Linked DNA regions of Pelodiscus sinensis. The protein of the gene in region 2 interacts with the protein of the main gene of each other region in a pairwise test. Links are inferred from orthologs where the notes say so. Each region holds a gene or a part of one and is shown on either strand. Other genes may lie near its edges.

Region 1 (6,330 bases), on a different chromosome or scaffold from region 2:
CTGGTGGGGTTAAAAAGTTCAAGATGTAGCTTTTGACTGCTGGTAGCTGTTTGAGCACCTCCCCCAGCTCCCCCTTCCCAAACTGGGTTGGAGTTGAATGGGGGAAGAGCACCTTTGAACACCTCTGATCAAGGGATTTGTCCAACCCAGCTGGAACGGTCCCCAAACTGGCCAGCTGGGCCAGGGCTTACAGCAGCCGTGGGAGTCTAGTCACCCCTCACTGCAGGAGTCATTGCACTGCTCAACAGGCACCAGGGGAGTGGAGGCAGAGGCCAGAGAGGGGTGCCTCCCCCATCACCACCCCTGGAGAAAGAGCAGAGCCCTCCCAAGCCCTACTGCTGGAGATGGGGGGGGGTGCCCACACAGCCTGACCCCTACCACTCTGGGATAGGACTCAAAGGCCAAGGGCCTGGTACCTACATGGCAGAATCCCTCTGGCTTCGCCTGCAGCCCTGAGTAGCCAGACTCAGCAAGTCTAAGCCAGGCCTGGTGACCCCCAAACCTGTTGGGACCAGCTTCTTCACATGCCTCCAGACTAGCACCCATGTAGGCAGCCTGGCCTTGTGGAAGCAACTGAGCTGCCAGCTGCTCCCCCACCTGACAAGTGACCAGCTCCGGTCACAGAGCCAAGTCCAGCAAAGCCCCACAGCAAGCACTGGGCAGAGGCACCCCCCAGACTGGCAGAGGGGAGCCAGGGGTGACAAGGAGCCAGCTCTCCACCAACAATCAGCATTTGTTTAATAACAAAAACTCCAGCTATTGTAGAACAATATTCGCGGTAGCATCATTGTAATATACAATACAGGGGATCTCCTCAGCCATCTGAGAAGGATACGGGTTCGGCTTTCATAAAGTTACAGTCTCTGGTACAGAAAAGTCTCAAGAGTCTTTGATGTCACAGCAGCAGCTGCAGCGCCAGGGCTGTTGCAGACACTGGGCCTGGCCCTCCTGGCAGGATCCCAGCCGGCCCGCGCTCAGGAGCCCTCGTTCGCTGATTGCCTCTCCACGGCTCTCCCTTCGGCCTGCTCCAGTGGAGGGGGGCGCTAGCCAGAGCGCCCCGGGATGGAGCCAGAGGAAGCTACTGCTCCTCTATGCTAGGAGTCCTCCCTGCTCCCAGGCAGGGGCTCAGTGGCAGAGGATCCTGTCGCTCACGCAGGCAGCCTGGAATGGAGGAGGCAAAGGGTAAATCACCAGTCTGGGGACAGGGCAGCCCCTGGCCCTTATGGCAGGATCCCCCCCCATCTCAGAGGCCAGCAGGCACAACAGCTAGCTTCACTCCAGCCTCCCACAACCAGATGGGCTTTTTAGAAGGCCAGCCCCACAGATCTAGGCAGAGACTCTTCTCAGTCCCTCTTCCCCACCCTGTCAGCCTGTGCCGGAGCGGGGGCTGGCTGCACAGGGCCACCCCAACGCTGGCAGCCAGATCACGGGAAGGGCCTGTATACCAAGGGACGTTCTGCATCTCCCTCCCCGGGCACTGCTATGGGGAAGCTCACGGCAGGCCGGCCTGAGCACCCCGCGGGAAGAGCACGGCTGGGCTCCCAGAATCAAGGGCTGCAGAGCAGCGGGTGGGGGCGGCACCGGGGCCCAGCAGAGGCGCGGGGAAGGAGGGCAGCCGGGACTGGGGAGCGGGGGTCCGGCCGTCTCACCTCCGCAGCGCCGCTGGGCTCCCCGTCGGGGCCGCCCCCCAGGGGCTGGCCGCGGGCCGGCGGGTGCTGCAGCTCCAGCTGCAGGTCCCAGATGTAGTCGATGACGTGCTGCAGGATCTCCACCTTGGAGACGCGGCGGTGGCGGGGCAGGGTGGGCACCAGCGCCTGCAGCCGCGAGTAGCAGCCCTTCATGTCGTACAGCAGCGAGGCCGCGGCCGCCGCCTGCTCCGCCTGCTCCAGCAGCGGCAGCCCCCGCGGGGAGCCGCCGCCGGCCCGCGACAGCGACACGCTCTGCTCCGACAGGCACCGCGCGGCCTCGCCCGCGCCCCCGCCCAGCCGCACCCGCTTCAGGGCGCAGCTGGGCCCGGGGGAGGTGGCGGCGGCGGCGCTGGCGACTTTCATGCTCGGCTGGGCGGGGGGGTCGATGATCCGTCGGCGGCAGGACCCTGCGAGGAGCACTCGCTCGCCGCCGGCCGCGCCGACTACTTATAGAGTGCGGGGCCTTGCGGGGCGGGGCCAGCGCCCGCCCCCCGCAGCCAATCCGAGGCGCCATCCTCCAGGGGGCGTGGCTCGCAGCTTCCCCTCCGCCCCGCCCCCTGGAGCACGCTCGGAGACTCTTTTAAAGGGACAGTGCCGCGCAGAGACAAATGGTCGGGGCGGGAGGGTTTCCCGGGCGGGGGGCGGCTTGCAGGTGGAGGCAGCTTGAGGGCATATGGCCGAGAAAGGGGGAGGATGAAAGGAAGGCGACGAGCGCTTGGAATCGCTTCTTAATGACCCTTCCGACACCGCCCCCCCCCACCGTGCTGGCAAATGCCTCTCCCCACCGCTGGCAAATCCAGCTGCCCCACACCTAGCCCGGGGGAGGGGGGAGGCTGAACACAGGCACACCCCAGCCCATGCAACAGCGCTGCAGCGTGGGGGGAGGGGCTTGCTCAGCGCTAAGCGAGCCCGGGATCCGGTCTTCCCAGCAGCGGGGGGGAGGGGGGCCCGATCCCACGGGCAGCGGCCCCGCACCCAGCGCCTGTTACTGATTGCAAGGATGCGTCGATTACAACAGGCCCTTCCCCTTGCTCGGGGGCAGCCTGCCGGGCGCGGCGAGGCCCCCTGGAAACCGTCCCTGAGACCCCCGTGTGCGCTTCCCCGCTCCGTCGCGATCCAGGCCGGGGGGGGGGGGGAAGCAGCAGCTGGCGGGCTCCTGGTGCACATTTGCAGCGCCCCCTGAGCTGGGCCGCGTTGCCCCGGCGCGTTTGCAATCCCCCCCCCCGGGGAGGGGGGGGCGCTTTGCCGGGCCGCCCATTGTGGAGCCTCTCGGCGTCTCCGCGGTTCCCACAGCAGCCGCCGGAGCCCCCGCCCCTCGGCCGGCCGCTTCTGGGACTGCCCAAGCTGCGCAGACCGCCCGACGCCAGGGCTGTGACGTCACCCATTCATAAAACCCCCAGCGCTGTCAGCCTGGCGCCTCGCGGGCGGTGCCCATGGAGACCGCAAACAGGGAGCCGCCCCCTCCCCCCCGTCACCTGCAACCCCGGCCGGTCGCTCCTCTAGCCCCTCCATTTCCGCCCCTCCCCCTCGCACCTGCGGGACGCCCCCCCGGGCATTCCCATACACCCGTTTGTGGCTTGGGATGCGGGGGGAGGGAGAGCTGAGGGGTTGTTTTCCAGTGCAAGCAAGCAGATATTTCTGTCAATGCAGCCTCCTGCCCCCCATGACACTGTAGGAAGCAAAGATCGTTACTCCCGCTTGACCTGGGGAAACCGAGGCACTGAGCTGCTAAGGCGCTTGCTCAGAATTGGCAGGGCCGGGAACACGGCAGGCATCTCCTGCCTCCCAGGCTAGGCCGAGACCATCCTTTTTCTCTCTCCCGCTTGTGTGTTAGAACCCGGTTTTATTTGCAGGTCACCTGCCTCCGTCGGTGGTGACACTACGTTCATTCATCACCATGGCGTCTGACGCCTTTCAGGGGGTCCCTTGGCCAACATCTCTCACCCGCTTGTTCTCTCCTGCGCCCGGGGCCAGATGTGGGTGTGGGGCGGGGGGGGGGGGTTGGATTTCTGGCGGGCCCAAGGTAGGTACATGTATGAGAAGGCAGGTCAAAGACACGGGCCTTGCACCAGAAGTGGGAGGAGGTGAGGTTTGGGATGGTCTCATAGACTTTAAAGCCAGAAGGGACCATCCTGAGCATGTGGGTCTGACCTGCATGTCACAAGCCAAGCACCTCTCCCCTCTGCCCCCCACACACACTCTGGCTGTGTCTACACTGGCATGATTTCGCGCTGAAGCACCCACTTTTGCGCAAAAACATGCTGCCTGTCTACGCTGGCCGCAAGTTCTTGCACAAGAACACTGACGTTCTAATGTGTGAAATCAGGGCTTCTTGTGCAAGAACTATGATGCTCCCGCTCAGGAAAAAGCCTCTTGCACAACTGTTCTTGTGCAAGAGGCCAGTGTAGACAAGCAACATGAATTTCTTGCACAAGAAAGCCTGATGGCTAAAATGGCCATTGGAGCTTTCTTGCGCAAGAGAGCGTCTACACTGGCACAGATGCTTTTGCACAAAAGCACCTCTCTTGCACAAAAGCACATGCCAGTGTAGACGCCCTCCTACGCAAATACTTGAATGCAAAAACTCTTGCGTTAAAAGTATTTGCGCAAAATCGTGCCCATGTAGACGTAGTCCCAGGCAATTGGCCCAGAACCTCTGGCTGAGTTTCTGAAGGCCTCAAATCTTGATTTTAAAATGTCCAAGTTCCAGAGACTCCCCCACGTACTCCCTTCCCAACCCGAAGACGGCCATCAACTAGAACGGGGTGGACAATAACATGGAGGCAGTTCGCCAGGGATAGGCCCTGGTGGGCGGCCGCTTCATGTACCTGTGCCTCTGCAGGTATGGCTGCTTGCAGCTCCTGTTGGTGTGGATCGCCGTTCCCAGCCAATAGGAGCTGTGCAAAGTGGTGCAGGCCAAGACACCGCTTCCTACAGCTCCCATTGGCCGGGAATGGTAATCCAGAGCCAATGGGAACTTCCAGGGCCCACACCTATGGCGGTACAGGTAAATAAAGCAGAGGTGGCCTGCCGGGAGCTAACCCAGGCGAACCGCGTGCAGCCCGCAGGCCAGTTATTGCCTACGTCTACATTGGCAAGATTTTGCGCAAATACTTTTAACACAAGAGTTTTTGCATTCAAGTATTTGCGCAAGAGAGCGTCTGCACTGGCATGTGCTTTTGCGCAAGAGAGGTGCTTTTGCCATTTTAGCCATCGGGCTTTCTTGTGCAAGAAATTCATGTTGTCTGTCTACACTGGCCTCTTGCACAAGAACAGTTGTGCAAGAGGGCTTATTCCTAAGCAGGAGCGTCATAGTTCTTGCACAAGAAGCCCTGATTTCACACATTAGAACGTCAGTGTTCTTGCGCAAGAACTCCCCGCCGATGTAGACAGGCGGCCGCTTTTGTGCAAAATCTTGCCTATGTAGACACAGCCGATGTGCTCAGCTGAGATCTACCAGAGACACACCTGGGAACGGTCCCTATTCCTGGGGGTCCCACTGGGTGGGACCAGCCCCTCAGGATCTCAGTCTCCCACACTGAAGAGTTTTACCCGGTGTGTAAAGAGTCACCCTGCACCAGAGGAGCAAAGCAGGCAAACACTGTCTGGATCCGGAGGCTATAGGCTCTTTTAATGCCGCTGGATGCAGGCCCGTGAGCAGCGGCAGATTTAGGGCAGGATGAGCGGGGTGGCTGCCCCGGACCCCGCACTTCCCGAGGCCCCGTGCATGCGCCGTGTCAAAGGAGGGGCCCTGCGAATTTTCGCTGCCCGGGGCCCCACAGCACTCTCATCCGCCCCTGCCCGTGAGTGCCCTGACCTAAGGGCCAAGACGTGGCTCCCCATGGGGTCTATTCCAGTGGCATCTAGCTGCACATTGGGAAGAGCAAATATGCCAGACGAAAGCCACTGACATCAGATTTGCAAGGGGCCTCAGCCCTGTCTGCCAGACACCCCCGCTGTTCCATGCTTGCACAAACTCCTCTCTGAGCACAGGTCTCCCGTATGCCCCTCCATCAGCTGGCCAGATGCCGGGTCCCCGTCCCACCCACCTGTGAAAAACTCCCACAAGAGTGGCATGGGGGCTGCGTGGCAGGATTGGGCGCTTGGGGATCACGCGGCGAAAAAGAGGCGTATTGGGTTCCTAGTTGTTTCGATGGACAGAAGCTGGTTTTTGGCATCCCTGGGGTTGTCTTTGCTGGCTTCGGGCAGCATTGCCATGGCTCGTCCTCCTCCGCATGGCTCTTTCCCAGGTCCAGTGCTGACGCTACCAGTTGCATCTCTGACGTTTTTACGGCACGATGCGGAAGGTGATTCAGGGGATGCGGCCCCTGTTTATTTATTGGCGGGTGGGGGGGGGGATTTGCGTGCGCTTGGTTTCTCTCGCAGGGGTAGATGACTCGGGGTTTTCTTTCGTCTCCCTGGACTCCCCGGCGACCTCTGGGCTCACTTCTTTGCAAGAGGAGGAGACGGGCGCCTGCTACTGGAGGCAGAGCCAAGTTTAGGCACTTGCTGTGCCAGACACTTCCTGGGGCCCTGGCTACGTGGAGCCCCTGGCTCTCGCTGGCAGGGAGCTGGGAAAGGAGGGGCCTGCGTCCCAGCTGGCTGGCTCTCTTCCTCGGACAGGAGAAGCAGAGACGGCTCG
Region 2 (7,778 bases):
AGGGGATTTGGGCTCCGCTCTCACTCAAGGTAGCTCCTTCTTGGGGTGAGCAGGGGTTGCCTTCAGCTCCACCTTCCACTGTGGGCAGCACTGGGCAGGTGGAATTATCTGTGGAAATCCTCTCCACAATGCTTGATAGACAGTCCAGGCTGGAGACAACTGAACTCTTTCCATGTTTTGGATCTAAGGAAAGAGGGGGGAAAAAAAGCAATGAACCCAATGCGTAATTAATGCTAAGGGGAGGTAGTTCTTCCAGAGCACCAGCCTTGCATGGCTCTGAGCAGATAAAGATTCAATGGAAATATATACCAAATATATATTATTGAGAGATGCCAATCACTAAAAAAGCAGAGATAATATTTGAACTTGAAAAGTTAGAGAAGGGCCCATGCCTCAAAGTTTGGATGTGAACTACTACCTGCCTGAAGGAATTTGGAGCCAGGGTTTTGGTTCGCTAAAGAAAGGGGGTTGGCTGCTCTGGAGTCAAATGAGAACTTCTCCAAAGTTTGGATAAGATTTTGGGTGGGCCAGTCTCTGTTGCAAAGCAATTTAAAATCTGAAGCATTTTCAGGGATAAATATTCATGCCAAAGCATAGTGTAGGATTTATAATTATTACAGGAAATGCATGTGCAGGATTTCCCCACATCTGCAAACAGAATCATACGGAAACAGTTGGGGGGGGGGGAGGTGTCCTGTGTCATTGCCCACAGCTTGCTGGGGAGTTTTTCCTTCTGGAGTTTGCTGAGCATAAGTGACAGAAAGAGCAGGCAAAGTTTACTGAGAGTTTCTACCTTCATACACTTGTCTTGGGCATTAAGACAAATACTCACCATTTGGTGATTCTGTGTAGTAGCTGCTGTCATAGCTATTCCTCCTGCGAGAGCTGCAAGAGGGTCCACTGTACTCTAACTGAAACCAGAAAACAATGGATGCAGCATGTCACCAGTTCAGAAGCAGAATTTTCACATCTCAGTTCATATTTCAGTCTTTGGTCTGTGCCCTAGCCCCAGTTCCTGGTGAATTTTCAGCTTCCCTGAATCAGGGAAAACAACATTTCTGGGAAGATACTAAATCCAGAATATTTTATATTATTGCAAGGATTTTTGCCATATCTGTACTCATGGAAGAAACATTCAAAACATTGTAATGAGGGATTGCTCTGTATCTTTGAATTATGGTACAGAACATTTGGTCCTTGATTTAAGAGAGATGGTGGGGAAAGAACCTAACTCATAATATTTTAAAGGTTTTCCCCCACCAGTAATTTATTTCCATTGTCATTTCATATGGAAAACATCCTGCCTGGAATGGTTTATTTTCACCTTTGGTACTTTTCACACACACATAACGATAGGGATCCTACCACAAAAAGAGAATTTTGTATTTTGAGGAGGGATTCTGTACATAAATCCCTTCCTTCAAATATTCAGTTACAGAAAGGACCAGCCCCTTCTGAGAACTGCCCTCTGTCCCAATGTGTCTAAACATTTTATTGTGATTCCCAACTCAGAGGTATTCTGCGTTAGGATGTAGGAGAGGAGGCCAGGGCCAACCATAGTTGTACAATGAGATGATGAGATTCCCCCCGTGTCACTGCACCTGGCTCAGGAGCTTCCCTGCCCTCCAGTTCCCCTTATAAGGGTCAGAGAACATGGAACCCAAGACAGACATCTCCAGCCCTGCACTCCCAGGTGATCAGGAACCTCAGTGCCCCTATGTCCGCAGAGGGGTAACTCATAAGGACCCCAGATCTCCTTGCTGATATCTAAGTGTGCTAGCACCCACTGTGACTGAGGCCACAAAACAGCCCTGTCTCTCACCAACCCTCCTATGAATCCCACGTTTGTTTATGGCACAGCAGATCCTAGCTACTCGCCCCAGGTCTGTCTCTGCAGGGGTCAGAGATAAGAGCAACAGGCACAGGAGAATGGGGGGTCCCTGGCTCTCCTCTCCCAGAGAACCCATCCGACACTTTGCTCACGGGGGGCGGAGGGGAGGGTTGGAAGACGGACTCCCCGCCCAGAGGCGCCCCCACATCTCCCCTCCAAGGGACCAGGGTACATCGGAGCCCCCCCCCCCCCCCCCCGGATCAGGGTACAGGAGGGAGGTCACATCTCCCATCCCAGAGTCCGGGTACACGTGGGGACTCCCGTTTCTTTCCTAGGGGGCCGGCTCTGGGGGGGGGGGGCTCCTTTCCCATCTCAGGGCCCGCAGGTCCTGGACGCCTCCGCGCCCAGGGATCTGGGGGCATCGCCGCCTCCCCGCCCCAGCACTCACCATGCCGTCGGAGCAGTTGGAGCGGGGGCTGGAGGCGTCCGACTCGCCGCTGTAGTGCTCCAGGCCCGGGTAGTAGCTGTCCTCCTGCTCCCGCAGCAGCGCCTGCAGGCTCTCGATGTAGCGGATGGCGTTGCGCAGGATCTCCACCTTGGGCAGGCGCTGGTTGGGGTTGGTGGAGGTGCAGCGCTTGAGCGTCTCGAACGCCTCGTTCACCTTGCTCAGGCGCCGCCGCTCGCGCATGGTGGCCGCCTTGCGGCGGTCGGCGTTGGTGGTCTTCCGCTTGCAGGCTTTGCAAGCCCACAGCAGGCAGCGGCCGGCCTGGTGGTGTCCGCTGGGCGCCCGGATGTGCTCGTCCTCGTGGTGGTGCGCGTGGTGGTGGGGGTGCTCCTCCGGCTTCAGCAGGCCGCCCACGTGCACCAGCCGCGGGTCCAGGTCCTCGAAGAAGTGCATGTCCGAGGTGTTGAAGCAGGGGTCATCGTAGAAGTCGTCGGCAGCCGAGAAGGAGCAGAGGGAGCCATCCGTTATCTCCATGGGGCCTAGCAAGTCCATGGGGGCAGCCGAGGGGCGGGGCGGGCAGGGGCAGAGCGTCCGGGGAACCCAGCCGAGCTTGAACCGGGGAGATTATTTCCCAGCCGCCAGATGAATGTAGTTGAATGTCCCCCCCGAGTTTTAACAGAGCCGCTCTCACGCAACGGCCTCCAGTTAATTCGGAGAGAGACGCTTTCCTAGGCTTGGGCACAAGAGTTCTTCAGCTTTGGCTGGTGATTGTCTCCCTTCCCCAGTTCAGCTCAGCCTTGGCATGGCACTGAATTACCCTCCCCTGGTGCCCATCCGGATAGCACAATTTGTGACTCTTATTTATCCCGCAGCCTTGCTCGAGGGAGGGTGGGGATTCTTACAGGACGAGCTCCCTTTCACCTGCCGGCCAATCCCTTAGTCCCAAGGAGGCAGTGGCTGGGGTCTTGGACGGGGTGGGCAGGGAGGGGGGCGCGTCTGATTGGAGGGCAGCTGGAGCCCTTGTCAGGCAAAAGTTGTAGGAAACTTTCTGCAAATGTCAAACTGCAGCCAGAAAATAAGCGTCACAGTGGGATCATCTTTATTTTAACTCTTTTCTGCATGAGCGCTCCTGTTCTCACCCTTGTTCTAATGGTATTTAGGGGCTTACGTATTTATGCAAAGATTGTAGGTTATTATTGGTTTTTTTCATGTAAAGGCTTCTACATTAATAATACTGAAAAGAAAATAAACACAAACGGTTTATATTCAGTTTGTGATCTGGGCTCTTCCCTGCCGAGGCTTTGCTAAGCGCAAAAGATTTTTGCTGTTAAACCATTGACTACTGAGATAGAGAAATATATTTCTCATTTCTTGTATTGAACTTTGCAAAAGTTCTATTCCGTTCAGCGTTTAAGAAACAAGACAATAAAACAAGAGAACCAACTTATTGATAATTCCTTTAGTGGCAGGAATATACATACATTTAAATATATATCTTTCATGGTGGTAGGTGTATTGAGTCGGTGTTGCTTGTAAGTGAATTTTGTCCCTCTTCTAAATATATGAATAACCGTTTTTTTCGTTCAAATGGAAATAAAGTTTCGCGTTGCAGGTTGATATTTTTTCTTGTAATTTGTTTTTCAGGAAGTGCGAGTGATCTGAATGCTGTTTTTAGGATTACACCTATGCTCCCCCTCTCTTTCTCTCTCCAGCCTTTAGTTTCTCTCCTAGGAACCTAATATTTTCCCATCTAATCGTTTTCAAAAATGAAAAAAAAAATTCTGTGTAATTTTGGATCTAGGAATCGGGTTCCGTTGATTTCAAGGAGTCCGAGAAACCGTCTGGAGGTAAAAAGGATTACTATATTATCTGCGTTTTTCCTTCTAAATAATTTTCTTTGATTGACTTAATTTGTGGTCTGATAGCAGAAAACATCGAATGGGTCGAAAACTTTCCACCTAGCCTTCACATCACATTAAACGGACGTGACTCCGTTGTAATAATAATGCCTTTTACCTTATGCCAGACCCTGCTCTGCCATGTCTCTGGCCAGATAATAATGCTTTTGAGTTTGATTTGTAAAAGATCCGCCTTTTCCTGGACACTGTGCCGACCAGCCTGGTGGCTGCCCACTTGTCATTTCCCCATTTCGAAAAGAGGAGATACTGCAATTGATCCTCGACTTCCATCTGAAGATGCAATGGATTTGTTCGTTACTGGCTCGGGTTTGCTTTTTACAGTGTGCAATGCTGTGGGAATAGGGACCAGGAATAAAAGCTTGTTTAAGAGAAAACTGGAGAGAGGGGACCGTTCAGTAAAGGAAATGTCTGTGTGGGGAGGAGAGGGAGGCGGTAGAGTGCGTGGTACTTTCAAACTGCATTCATCTGGCCTTGCCCATCGCTAACCTTCTCCCCCACCGCCAGAGGGTGGCTGTATGATTCATGGCCGTACATTAGACTAGCTCTAGATTCGTGTCCCACTGCAGCCTTTTGACCCAGAAAGGCGTTACGTGGGGTTTGTGGGATTCTGAGTCTAACCAGCAACTTGTCATTACGGATCACTGCAATTCTCGGACGTGGACTTGTTTGCAGAAAGAGGAGGCGGCGGCCACCACGCCTTTCCTTCCCTCCCAGTGTTTAATCCAGTCCCCTCTTTTTCTCCCCCCTCCCCTCCCGCGGACTTTTGATCAGACTGCCAGGATCTGTGCCCCTCGCTCCCAAACCCTCTCCAGGCTGATCAAGCGCGGGAGCGGAAACACCCGGAAAAACCAGGTGTAAAGCTAGAAGAGGGGAGTGTGTTGTCGGGGGGAGAGAAGGGACGGGAAATGCCTGGCGCTGCGGGCAAGGGCCGTCGGTCCCGGGCGTTGATTGCTGCTCCCGCTCGGGCCCTGGGGTCGGAGCATCGCCGCTCGCTCCTGGAAGCTGCCTCGCCGCCAGCTCCTGGGCTCACTCCCGCCAAGTCCGGGGAAGGAGGGAGGCAGAAGAAAGCCAGGAGGGGAGCCAGACGCCAGCGAAGGAGCCAGCAGGTGGAGACAGAGCCTTGCCCAGCGGAGCCTTGGTCCTGCCGGGCCCGGCGCAGAAAGCCTCTTCCGCGGGGAGAGCTTGGTTAGAAACTTCCCCCGAGTCCCACCAGGCTAGCGGGCAGGGGGGGTTTCACCATCCATAAGCGGCCAACCAGGAAAGCTAAAAGCGTCCCCGACGGCACAGCTAGCCCGCCAGGGGGCGCCGCCGCCCTCTCCAGCGGTGTATGGCCCGCGGCGGCCGGAGCGTGTTGCAGCCCTCGCGTGTGGCGCTGCTCGTAACTGCAGAGGAAACCCGTGTCGTGGGGATCGCCCGGGGCGCGGGCAGCTTTGCAGGCGAGCGAAGAGACTCACCCTTTCACCCTGCCCATGGCGCCAGCTTCCCGGGGTGGGCGCGCCTTGCCGTGCCCCGAGCCCGCTGGCGCCGGGCAGCGTGTGCCGAGCCCAGGCAGAGCTATTGCAAGCGTGGCCAGCCGGGGGCCACGTCCAGACCGTACGGAACAGCTGTGTGCGTGGGTGGGGGAGTGCTGGAGCGGCACTGGAGGCCCCCTGTTGGAGTGGGAGACGTGTCCTAGCAGTGGTTAATTGCAGTCCTATATTTCAGGGCCAAATTGATTCCTCTAGTAAGCTTACTGCATTAGTACAGACGCCCCTTAAGAGAGTGAGTTCGCAACTATTTGAAGCTATCGCCTCAGTGTAATAGCGCAACAGCGGTGGTTGACATGGCCTGTTGTGTGTGGCATGTAGATTTGCACTCCACCTTACGGTTCACCTAAGAGCATCTGTTAGTAAAATACTTAGGGTAAGTCTACAACCTATTTCAGGATACTGGCTATCCTGCGTCTTTAGGGCAAGCCCGTTTTTTCAAGCTTGCTATATCAACCTCCCTGTAAACCTCTTTCTACAAGGAGTAAGGGGTGTTTCCGAATAGTGCTTTATTTTGAAATTTGGCACTGTGTAGACCGCACCAAATGACTAAGTAAGCTGTTTCGAAATAGCATTGAAATGGGATACACAATTTGCGTAACTCAAATTGCATAGCTTATTTCGAGTTCCAGTGGAGTGTAGACACACGTTAGGGAGAGAATCTGACACCTGTGTTCACTCATACTAAGTACTGTCTGGGGGGGGGGGGAGGTGTACACTGCACCCTTAGCTCAAATAATCTACTCATTTTGAGCTATGCAAATTATGTAGCTTATTTTGAGTATATATCGAGTCTACACAGCGCCAAATTTTGAAATAAATCACTATTCTCAAACGTCCCTTAATTGTCGTGGAACAAGGTTTACAGGGACATCAGAATAGTGTGCCTGTTATTTCAAAAGCTATTTTGAAATAATGGGCATGCTGTCAAGATGCAGATTAGTATTAGTATCCTAAAATAGTGCCTCAGTGTAGATGTATCCTAGCTGTGCACGTACCCCCAGACATTTCAGTGGTGCAGTGTCTGGAGTAAATTACTACTGAGATGAACAGAGTTGGCAGAATTTGGCCCTTAGAACAAAATGTTAGCACCAAACAAATCCAGGGCCAATTTCTCCTGCCTTTAACATCTACATTTCCACATTAAAGGCTATGTATGGGGCATCCAACCTACTTAATTAGCCCCATTAACATAGGTTAATTAGCAGATACTTTTTCTGTTATACAAGCAGTCCCCGGGTTACATGGATCCGACTTACATCGGATCCCTACTTACAAATGGGGTGAGGCAACCCCGCACTAGCTCCTTCCCCCCAGCAGACCAGGGAGACGCGGAGCGGCTTTTCTCAGCAGACACCTCAGCTTGAGAATAAAGGACTGAGGGAAGTGAGGTGTGGGAGAATAAAACTGAGCTCTGGAGAAATGTTTGGCTAGAGTTTCCCCTACAATATGTACCAGTTCCAACTTACATACAAATTCAACTTAAGAACAAACCTACAGTCCCTATCTTGTGCGTAACCCGGGGACTGCCTGTGTGTGCGTATATATATATATATATATATATGTCCCTTGGTTTCTGTTATTTCCACTCCAGTTCATCTGATGAAGTGAGTTTTGCTCATGAAATCTCATGGTTCTATATATTTTGGTTAGTCTTTAAGATGCCACAGGACTACTCATTGTTTTTAAAGTTACAGACTAACACAGCTAACCCTTTGAATCCCTTTACAGAGTTCATAATATATTGTTTAGAATGCATTGCTTGGGATTTAGAGTATAACTTATTTCTAGCTTTTTAGCTGATGTTAATTATTTTGGTTACTAATTTAGGAGTCTTTAATTTCTGCTTCCGTTTTAAAGGGGCCAATCCTGAAAAGACTTAACTTTTCACAGATAAAAATTCCCCACAGGGCTAGGGTACTTGCACAAGTCTTTGCAGTTATTATTAACTGGAATTTAATAACCTTGAATCCCGAAATAAACAAACAAAATGATGGTAATTAAATTATAAATGAGTTTTTAAAACTGTTTAGGTGTGTCTGCTTGGAAGGGTACAA
Region 3 (7,983 bases), on a different chromosome or scaffold from region 2:
AAGTCTCATTATCAGCTTAATTTCTTTCTGACTGAATTAAAGCTTGGAGCAGCCAAAATTTAATCAGTAACAGCAGTGATTTAGTTCAGTTCTCAATATCTTAGTCATATGGAGAAGCTGCTGCAACTGATTAGAAAACCCATTTCATTGAGCTATTGCATGGAAGCATGTACATTCCAGTGTGGAAAGGCAACAGTCACTTCATTATTCCAAATCACATGTTAACGCATCAGCAACTTTTGCATTCAAAGCCTTTTGCAGGAATTAAGTGGTTGGGAGACTAATAGCCACCCGCAACCCTTAATTCTGTGTAATTATTCAACGAGCAAGTTACCAGATCTTGGGCAGCACTATGGGAGAACTGAAAGTGAGTCATCAACTAAACTAGAGGGTGGGGGAAAAAAAATCAAACACCAAGGGTATCTCTTGTGACTAACAACTTTTGTGTATGTTTCCAAACCGTTCTTCAATAGCATCCTCTCTGTCATAATCCACAACTCTGGCAATTCCTTACACACTGTCCATAAGGTGTTCAGCTGAAAGTTGGAACATACATTTAAATAAGTCAAATTACAAGAATTAAAACTAGTAACTTAATAATAATGTTATTTATGTTCTACACATACTTGAACTGTTACATTGTAAAATCACAGTATCCCATACCCAGTAAACTGTTGGTCCCCAAGAATAAGGCAGGCACTCAGTTCAATAAACACACTTGATTTATTTTGTATAAAAAAGGGTTAAGTTTACAACTAAACTTTTATAAAAAGTTTAGCATGATTAAGTACATCATTACACTTTTTTTGCAGAAATGTACATTTCTGCCACTATACAAGAAAACTCTAATTAAAGAGTTCACAAGGTTTCACTCATACACATATATATATATATATATATACATACATATACATATACATATATATATATATATATATATATTCATATATAAATATATACACAGCATTCAATCCTAGGCTTGCATCAGAAGGTCATTTCTGACCATGGACTTCCCTAAGAAACTGAACACTGGGTCCTTCTGATACTCACGCTCCACCTTTGGAAAAAAGGCAAAGTCTGCTTTAAAATGGGCAATTCCTTGTGAGTTTTTGTTTCACTCCCCAGGCTGGGAATAGTATATAAAGGGCACCTTCCGACTAGGGAAAGGGCATTTAAAAGTCTCTTCATAAATAGCTAAGATCAGTCCAAGTTGAAGGGGAGGGAGACAATCTCAAGTTTCTTCTTTATTAGTTTTAAAAGGTCCATTCCATTAATTATAGATTCCCCCTCCAGATAAAGCTGAAAAATAAGTTCAGCACCTCAAAAAAGAAAAAAAAATCCTGCAGACATTTTCTTGTGGGGGAAAAGTCAGCAAACACCTGCAAAAGATTGAAAAAGGAGAATTTAGGAGAATGCTAACAGGGCAGAGATCCGGACAGACTGGCGCCAGAGAGGAAGCCACAGTTTGAACATTTAACCAAACACTCAAAGATTGGGCAAACCCTGGCGTCCAGATGCAAAACACACACACACAAAAACCCCCTCAAAAGCACAAATTAAACATTAAAATAACATACATTCAAGCAGGAGGGGGAGAAAGAGGATTCTCAGTCCAATCTCTATTTGGATCTCTGTAACTGCACTGCTCAGAGGCGCCAGTCTGCCTCTTACAGCAATTATTTGATTAAAAGCAGACACTTACTTAACTGATAGTGCAGACAATTCCACATGACAAAACTTAATGGATTATGCTAAAATCCTCAACTAAATCAGTCATTTCATATGAAGGTTAGGATTTTAGAAACAGAATTTACATTATGTGGTAAAATGTAAGTACAAAGAAATAGTCTCAGAGCAAACAGTCTATACTACTTATTAGCAAAGGCAAAAATACTCTTTCATTTGGGCTACCCCCAAATGAATTACTAGTGCAATTTTTATGGCTTAAATACTGGTTATAAAGGCATCCTCCAATAAACCTATTTGTATTATTCACTATGTCTTAAATCCAAGCCCATACACACATTTTAATCCCCAAAAATGAAAGTCCTTTAACCCCCCAAATGAATTGTATTTCACATTACATTTATTTTTTTAAAAAAAACCAAGCATGAAACACTCACCAGTGAATTTAGCCACAAAGTGCTTTGCTATCATTTGACATTAATTCTGAAGGGAATTCAGATGCCTGCAAAGAAGAAAAAATAAAACAGCACAGTGTTAAATACCTTACCAGCACAATAAAAAAATACAAAATACTCTGGATCATGAAGTTCATTCCATATACCATGCCATGATTTAGTTTCACAATGACAACCAGCATCACTAGGGCTGTCTAGGAATTGGGACATTTCCATCTATTTCAATCTAAAATTATTAAGTATTAGGGTTTTTTTTAAAGTAACCATTTCTCATGCCAGTCACTCCCTGTCATAAAAGCTACAGCTCTCTAATACTGACTCCCTAACAACAACGTCCACTGTCATTATTAAGCCAAACTCAGTCACTGTATATAGGCCAAGAAACAGGAGGGAGAAAAGTCAGCCAGGGTTAAGGAGACAAGGTAGGTGAGGTAATATCTTTTATTGGACCAACTTCTGTTGCTTAGAGATACAAGCTTTAAAGCTTATGCAGAGCTTTTCTTCAGGACAACACAACTACAATAACACTGTGTACACTTACCTGTAATGACAAGATGCTGATGTCTGTGTTTAAGGTGGTCAGAGGAGTTCTGGAGGAAGGATTTGGTCCTGGTCTCTGGTGATGGAAGCTGACAATACTGGGGTGAGAGTCTAAAGCGATCTGCAGGTCCAGGATGTAGTCAATAACATGCTGCAGGATTTCCATCTTGCTCACTTTCTTGTTCTGAGGGATACTGGGCACTAGCTCTTTCAGTTTGGAGTAGCAGTCATTCATGTTGTATAGCAAACTCATAGGATCATCCACGGGGGTTTTGCTCCGGGATATTCCCAGGGTGTGTTCAGAGAGGCTGTTTTTCCTGACGGATCTCACAGGACTGAAAGCTTTCATGCTGGAAGAGAGCCTGATTTCCAGGGCACAGAAAACACACACTAAGGGATCACTCTGCCTGCTTGACTGCCTCACTTCCTTTTCTTTCTCTAAGCAGCTGCCTGAGCTCAGACTGAAGCAGCAAGCTGCCTCTACTTGCTTTTATAGTGCAGGCTCAGCAGCTGCCAAACCTAGCCAGTGCTTACTGCCATTGGAGGCACCCAATGTGTCCATCAGACTGTGAGACATTCTCACTGGTACAAATGAAACCTAAAAGAAGGTTCAGGCCTTCCGCACTCTGAGCCAATCGTAGGGAAGGGGGCGTGGCTGTTCTAAGCACAGCTGAGGATAGTAAATACTGTACAGTAACTGCTGAGCCTCCTGACTCATTTTACAAAGGCACTGAGAAAGGAATGAAATGGGCATTATGCATTGTGGTTGCAAAGAGCCTGGTCGGATCACAGAGGATTCAGATCTCTTTGGTGCAAACAGACACTCCCCATATATTTTCTTTTCTATTTTAAAGAGCTAGCTTGCTAAAGTTGGAATGAAACATGTAGCAAATTTAGGATACGAAACTGAACTAGGCTTTGGGAGACATAAGCACATTATGAACATTTATATGTGTGGGGCTTGAGGGAGTCATACACTGATGACTATAAATACACCATAAGCAGATAGTCTCTATTGTAACATTGTGTCATTGAAGCCTGATACTTCCTGAAAGTTAAACTGAATTATAGTAACAAACCATTCTTTTAAATTATGGTTGTCTACATCAGCAGTCAGCTTCACTAATAAGTACTGTAAACTAAAACATTGCAGGAAGGGTATGCATAAAAAAGTCAAGTAAAGAAACAAAATCAACAGGAACTTTTTCCTGTAATGACAAAATACTCAGCTATAAAACTCACGCTCAGGGCTTTTAAAGACTGAGAAGACACTATTAGCTTGCTGTCAAATTTGCTATTAATTGGAGACAGGCAAATGTTGAAAATACCTTTGCACATATTACCTCTGAAAGGCTGCTGACCTAATCCACCAGTGCATGACATTACTGTAATTAATTCTGCATGGATTGATTTTAGTGACAAATGTGTGTATTTACTGTACTGTTGCATCTTTGCTTAGCACCAGTAAAATGCATCTTCCAGAAATACTACAAACAGGAATTATCTTGAGAGAAATCATCTTTGAAATTTTCCTTTTGCCCAATTGCAGTTTGCTCATTTTGTGTGCACTCAACTGCCAGATTCAGAACTAATTCCCAAGATTTTTCATACTACTCAAGGAAGGCTAAAGTTATGAAATCGTAAACTATCTATGGAAATTATTTTATTATTTAAAATATTTTTACCCCACCTCGCTATTTAAAATATTTGAGACGGCTTACAATTTTTTAAAAAATGCAATAAATATACATAAAGTAAAATATAAAACTCCAAAGAGGGTGAGGACATAAAAACCTGCTAAAATAGAGACACTGAAGAGGGACACTAACACAAACACAACTGAATACCACCAATACAAGCACGGGTAAAAAGGGTGGCTTTGACCTGGCATTATTTATGTATTTAAAATATTACTACATACTATAAAATGATTGTACAGTAACTTATTACATTTTCCAATACATATAGTTCTGTATTGCATAAAACCCACTTACATTAGATGGATAGATGTAAAGTCACTGTGGGAATTTAAGAACTGTATTAAAGAAGACACACAAGTCTTTGATTTATCCAGGTTGTTGGTTCCTTGTTGCCAACCTTCATCTTACTCCGAGGGGGGAGGACAGACATTATTGGCAACTGGAAGCAGAGCTCTATAGGGATCAATCAATATTTTCCTCCAATTAATGTTGCATTCCTTAGCTAGTATTTGGGGAGGTCTCTGACAGGACATTTTGCTGACTGCAACACAAGCTTATTTGCTTCAGGGCTTTTATCTAGGGGGTGTAGGCGGTGCTGAGCCTGACAAGAACACAATTCAATGATTTTGAAATGTGAAGGGTGAAAGTGAATCTCTCCATTCAATCTTACAGGAAGACAAGTACATTGTTTAAATACAATTAAAAGGCACAGTAAATAAAAAAATGTGTGGCAAATCAACAGCTTAATTAAAACAAATACTGACTGCAACTCCAATCCTCAGGAAATGCTAAATTGACAAAACCTCATTTATATTAAATCTGGTGATTTACTATCACAGGTTTTACCCTACGGACTTGCTTGTATTTCTGTTCCACATGTGCTCCAGTGGAACAGACTTTGTTTTGACACTATTATTGTTACAACAATAGCCAATATAAACATATCTTCATGTTTCTCTCATTATCTGCCATCCCTGGATAATGAGACAATGTTACAGAAACGTTCTCCTAGGCTTTTACAAAGAACTTGTTCATTCATAGGTGATTTTGTACTTTTATATTGAGTACTGAAGGCATTCTGGTTTTTTGTACTTGTTTTATAGAGTAGAATTATATATTAAGAGGGGCTAAGTAGATCACCATGATCACTATGCCTACTTTCTGGGTGAAAAGTGTTTTCACTTCTGTTGGGTAAAGGATTGACTCTTGATTTATGTTTACACACCCTGGTATTATGAATTGGTCTTAAGGCCTGTTTTCAAAGTTTCACTCTTTAAAGATTTTACAATTGACAGACTACCAATTTGGGAGTCAGGGGAGGGAATAACTCCTTTCTAATCCGTACAGTCGTGGAATAACTTTGGGTTTTATTGTCACACTGGGCGAAAGGGGACGGGATTTTATGTAGGGAATCTCAGAAAAGAGTACGCCGGACCTTGGAACGCCTGTAGCAACCTCCCTACGGATCTTAGAAAACTTTGCAAGCAAGGACTAAATGACATTACACCTGTGACTCCCTTAAAATGGCAGTCCTGTTTCTCTACCCCCAACCTCAAAACACTGCTGCTGCTAACATCTGGAAGGAAAATATGCGAGTTCCTGTCAGACAAAGCAGGGCTCGTCTGCTGATCTCTCTCCCGCTCCCCAGTCCCGTCCCCCCCCCCACAACGCTGCAGTGGTGACAAGGGTGCCCCCTTCCATAGGGCATGACCCCCCCGTCACTCCCACAGGGACCGCTCTTCTCTGGAGCACTGAGAGCCGACTCCCTGTGGTGAGCGGAGCTAGTGAGCCCCCCCCCCTCCCGCCTCTGCGGTGGGGAGAGGCGTGGAGCCCCCGCCGTGGCGCACCGGGACTGGGATCCCCGTAATGAGCCGGAGTGGGGCGCACGGGGGGATTCCCAGGCTCTCCCCAGCCGGGGCTCCGCCCCCACAGCTCCAGCCCCCGGGGCCGGGCCGGACCGCGCGGCGCCAGCCCCGTGACATCACCCCTCGCCTCCCTCCCTCCTTCCCCGGCCGGGCCCGGCGGCGCCGCTCAGGCGGCTGCCATGGAGACCGGGGCTGAGCCCTGGGCTGTGGGAAGCGGCGGGGCCCGGCCTGGCCGCCCCCGCCAGGGCGCACCTGCAGCCGGGGCCCCGCGCACGGCCCCGCTCCCCTCCCTCCTCCGGGCCGCCGAGCAGGGGCCCTGGGCGCGGCGCCAGCTCCCGCGCGGGCTCGTTCTGGGCCAGGCAGCTCCGCAGCTTGTCCGGCGGCAGCCTCACCCGGCCGCGGGGTGCCCCCCTTGTCAGCCCTACGCCCGTGAAAGCACGGCCAGGGGCCGCTGCTAAGAGCGGGAAAGGGCAGCGAGGCTGCGCCCTTTGGAAAGGTCTCGACCCTGCTGGCTCACCCAGCCCAGTGCGGTGGCTTTCTAGGAACCGGCCTCTGGCTTACATAAGCGGTGGGGCCTCCTGGGTTTGACCCTCACACGAAGTCCTGGGGAAATTGAGTTCTTCCTCCGAAGCAGAGCCGTCTGGCGGCACTTGGCTATCAGCCATGTATTTACCTCATCATTAGGGATCTTAAAAGTTTTCATCCCCCAACGCCGTGTAGTTGTTATAAAATGTATTTATACAAACCAACTAGAAATTCTACACAAGCCTTTAACTGCCATGTATTTACTCTATTAGACTTTATTAATATCTGTCTGGTATCCTGAGCCTTCACCTTATTGCTACAATTCAGCAAACTAAAATATGTTGGCTAAACAGAGGTTTGCAATGGACCTGGTGGAATCTCCCTCTAAGCTCAATTGCTTTCAATGGCCTGATCGTTTTTATTTGGCTCATGTTTCAGCTCCATTCAAATAATGCAGTTCTAGACTTTTTTGGGTGGGGGGAGACGAGAAATAGAGGGACAGCCTGCATGCAAAATATTTAGTTACAAATTCTGTGAAGTGCACTGATCTGTAACAATGTTTTCTGCTTTTACAAAGGATTTTCCTGTTATTTTGTTCCGGTCAAAAAATTAAAAAAAAAGAAAAAAAGAAACTTGGGAGAGATAAGGTCTGGAAAACAATCTGGATTTGCCAGTCTGTTGGTGGGAGCTCTGCAGGGCTGGCGTCAGGAAGTCTGCGCCGCCTTCTATTACTGTTGATCCAGCTTTGTGCAGCTGCACTTAGTACAATTAGCTTGTAGAAACAATCCTGCTGTAGGCAGCCTCTTTCCTTCAAAGTGCTTTTCTATACTGATCCCTTCACATCATGATGTTGGAAATCAAGTCACAAGCTGACCACTGTTTGGCCAACATCATCTGTGGGAATTCATTAACCTCCATCTCAGAAATGCAACAAGAGATTGTTTGTCTAGAACTAAACTTACATCTTAATATTATGATGTAGCTCATACAGGAAAAAACCTGTGTCCCATTTTTGTCTTTTTTGGTCATAACAAGAAACACATTGTGCTTAGAGAGTGGGGAATGTAGCTGAACCAAGCATGAGCCGGCTCCTGCTAAAACTTTGCCATGAAAGTGATTGTTTTTTGGTTAATCAGGCTGCAGTTTCCATAGAAGCAACTTATCCCCTTGATCATTTTGCTGGGTGCACTTTGCAAGCTCATTTCCGTCTGA

Evidence for each region. The genes of interacting proteins can lie anywhere in the genome.
Region 1: the proteins of MYOD1 (region 2) and ID1 interact in a two-hybrid assay, tested with the Homo sapiens proteins (5 studies listed by BioGRID). The link is inferred for Pelodiscus sinensis from reciprocal best matches to the Homo sapiens genes MYOD1 and ID1.
Region 3: the proteins of MYOD1 (region 2) and ID2 interact in a two-hybrid assay, tested with the Homo sapiens proteins (2 studies listed by BioGRID). The link is inferred for Pelodiscus sinensis from reciprocal best matches to the Homo sapiens genes MYOD1 and ID2.

The regions. Positions count from the first base shown.
Region 1 is NC_134728.1:1,841,260-1,847,589, forward strand, and holds ID1 (DNA-binding protein inhibitor ID-1), read right to left. Parts: upstream 2,232-6,330; 5' UTR 2,052-2,231; coding exon 1,650-2,051; intron 1,162-1,649; coding exon 1,126-1,161; 3' UTR 722-1,125; downstream 1-721. UniProt on the Homo sapiens protein: Transcriptional regulator (lacking a basic DNA binding domain) which negatively regulates the basic helix-loop-helix (bHLH) transcription factors by forming heterodimers and inhibiting their DNA binding and transcriptional activity.
Region 2 is NC_134714.1:112,691,389-112,699,166, reverse strand, and holds the start of MYOD1 (myoblast determination protein 1), read right to left. Parts: upstream 3,161-7,778; 5' UTR 2,829-3,160; coding exon 2,280-2,828; intron 912-2,279; coding exon 833-911; intron 184-832; coding exon 1-183. UniProt on the Homo sapiens protein: Acts as a transcriptional activator that promotes transcription of muscle-specific target genes and plays a role in muscle differentiation. Together with MYF5 and MYOG, co-occupies muscle-specific gene promoter core region during myogenesis.
Region 3 is NC_134713.1:28,837,605-28,845,587, forward strand, and holds ID2 (DNA-binding protein inhibitor ID-2), read right to left. Parts: upstream 3,222-7,983; 5' UTR 3,031-3,221; coding exon 2,683-3,030; intron 2,189-2,682; coding exon 2,132-2,188; 3' UTR 2,124-2,131; intron 1,380-2,123; 3' UTR 705-1,379; downstream 1-704. UniProt on the Homo sapiens protein: Transcriptional regulator (lacking a basic DNA binding domain) which negatively regulates the basic helix-loop-helix (bHLH) transcription factors by forming heterodimers and inhibiting their DNA binding and transcriptional activity.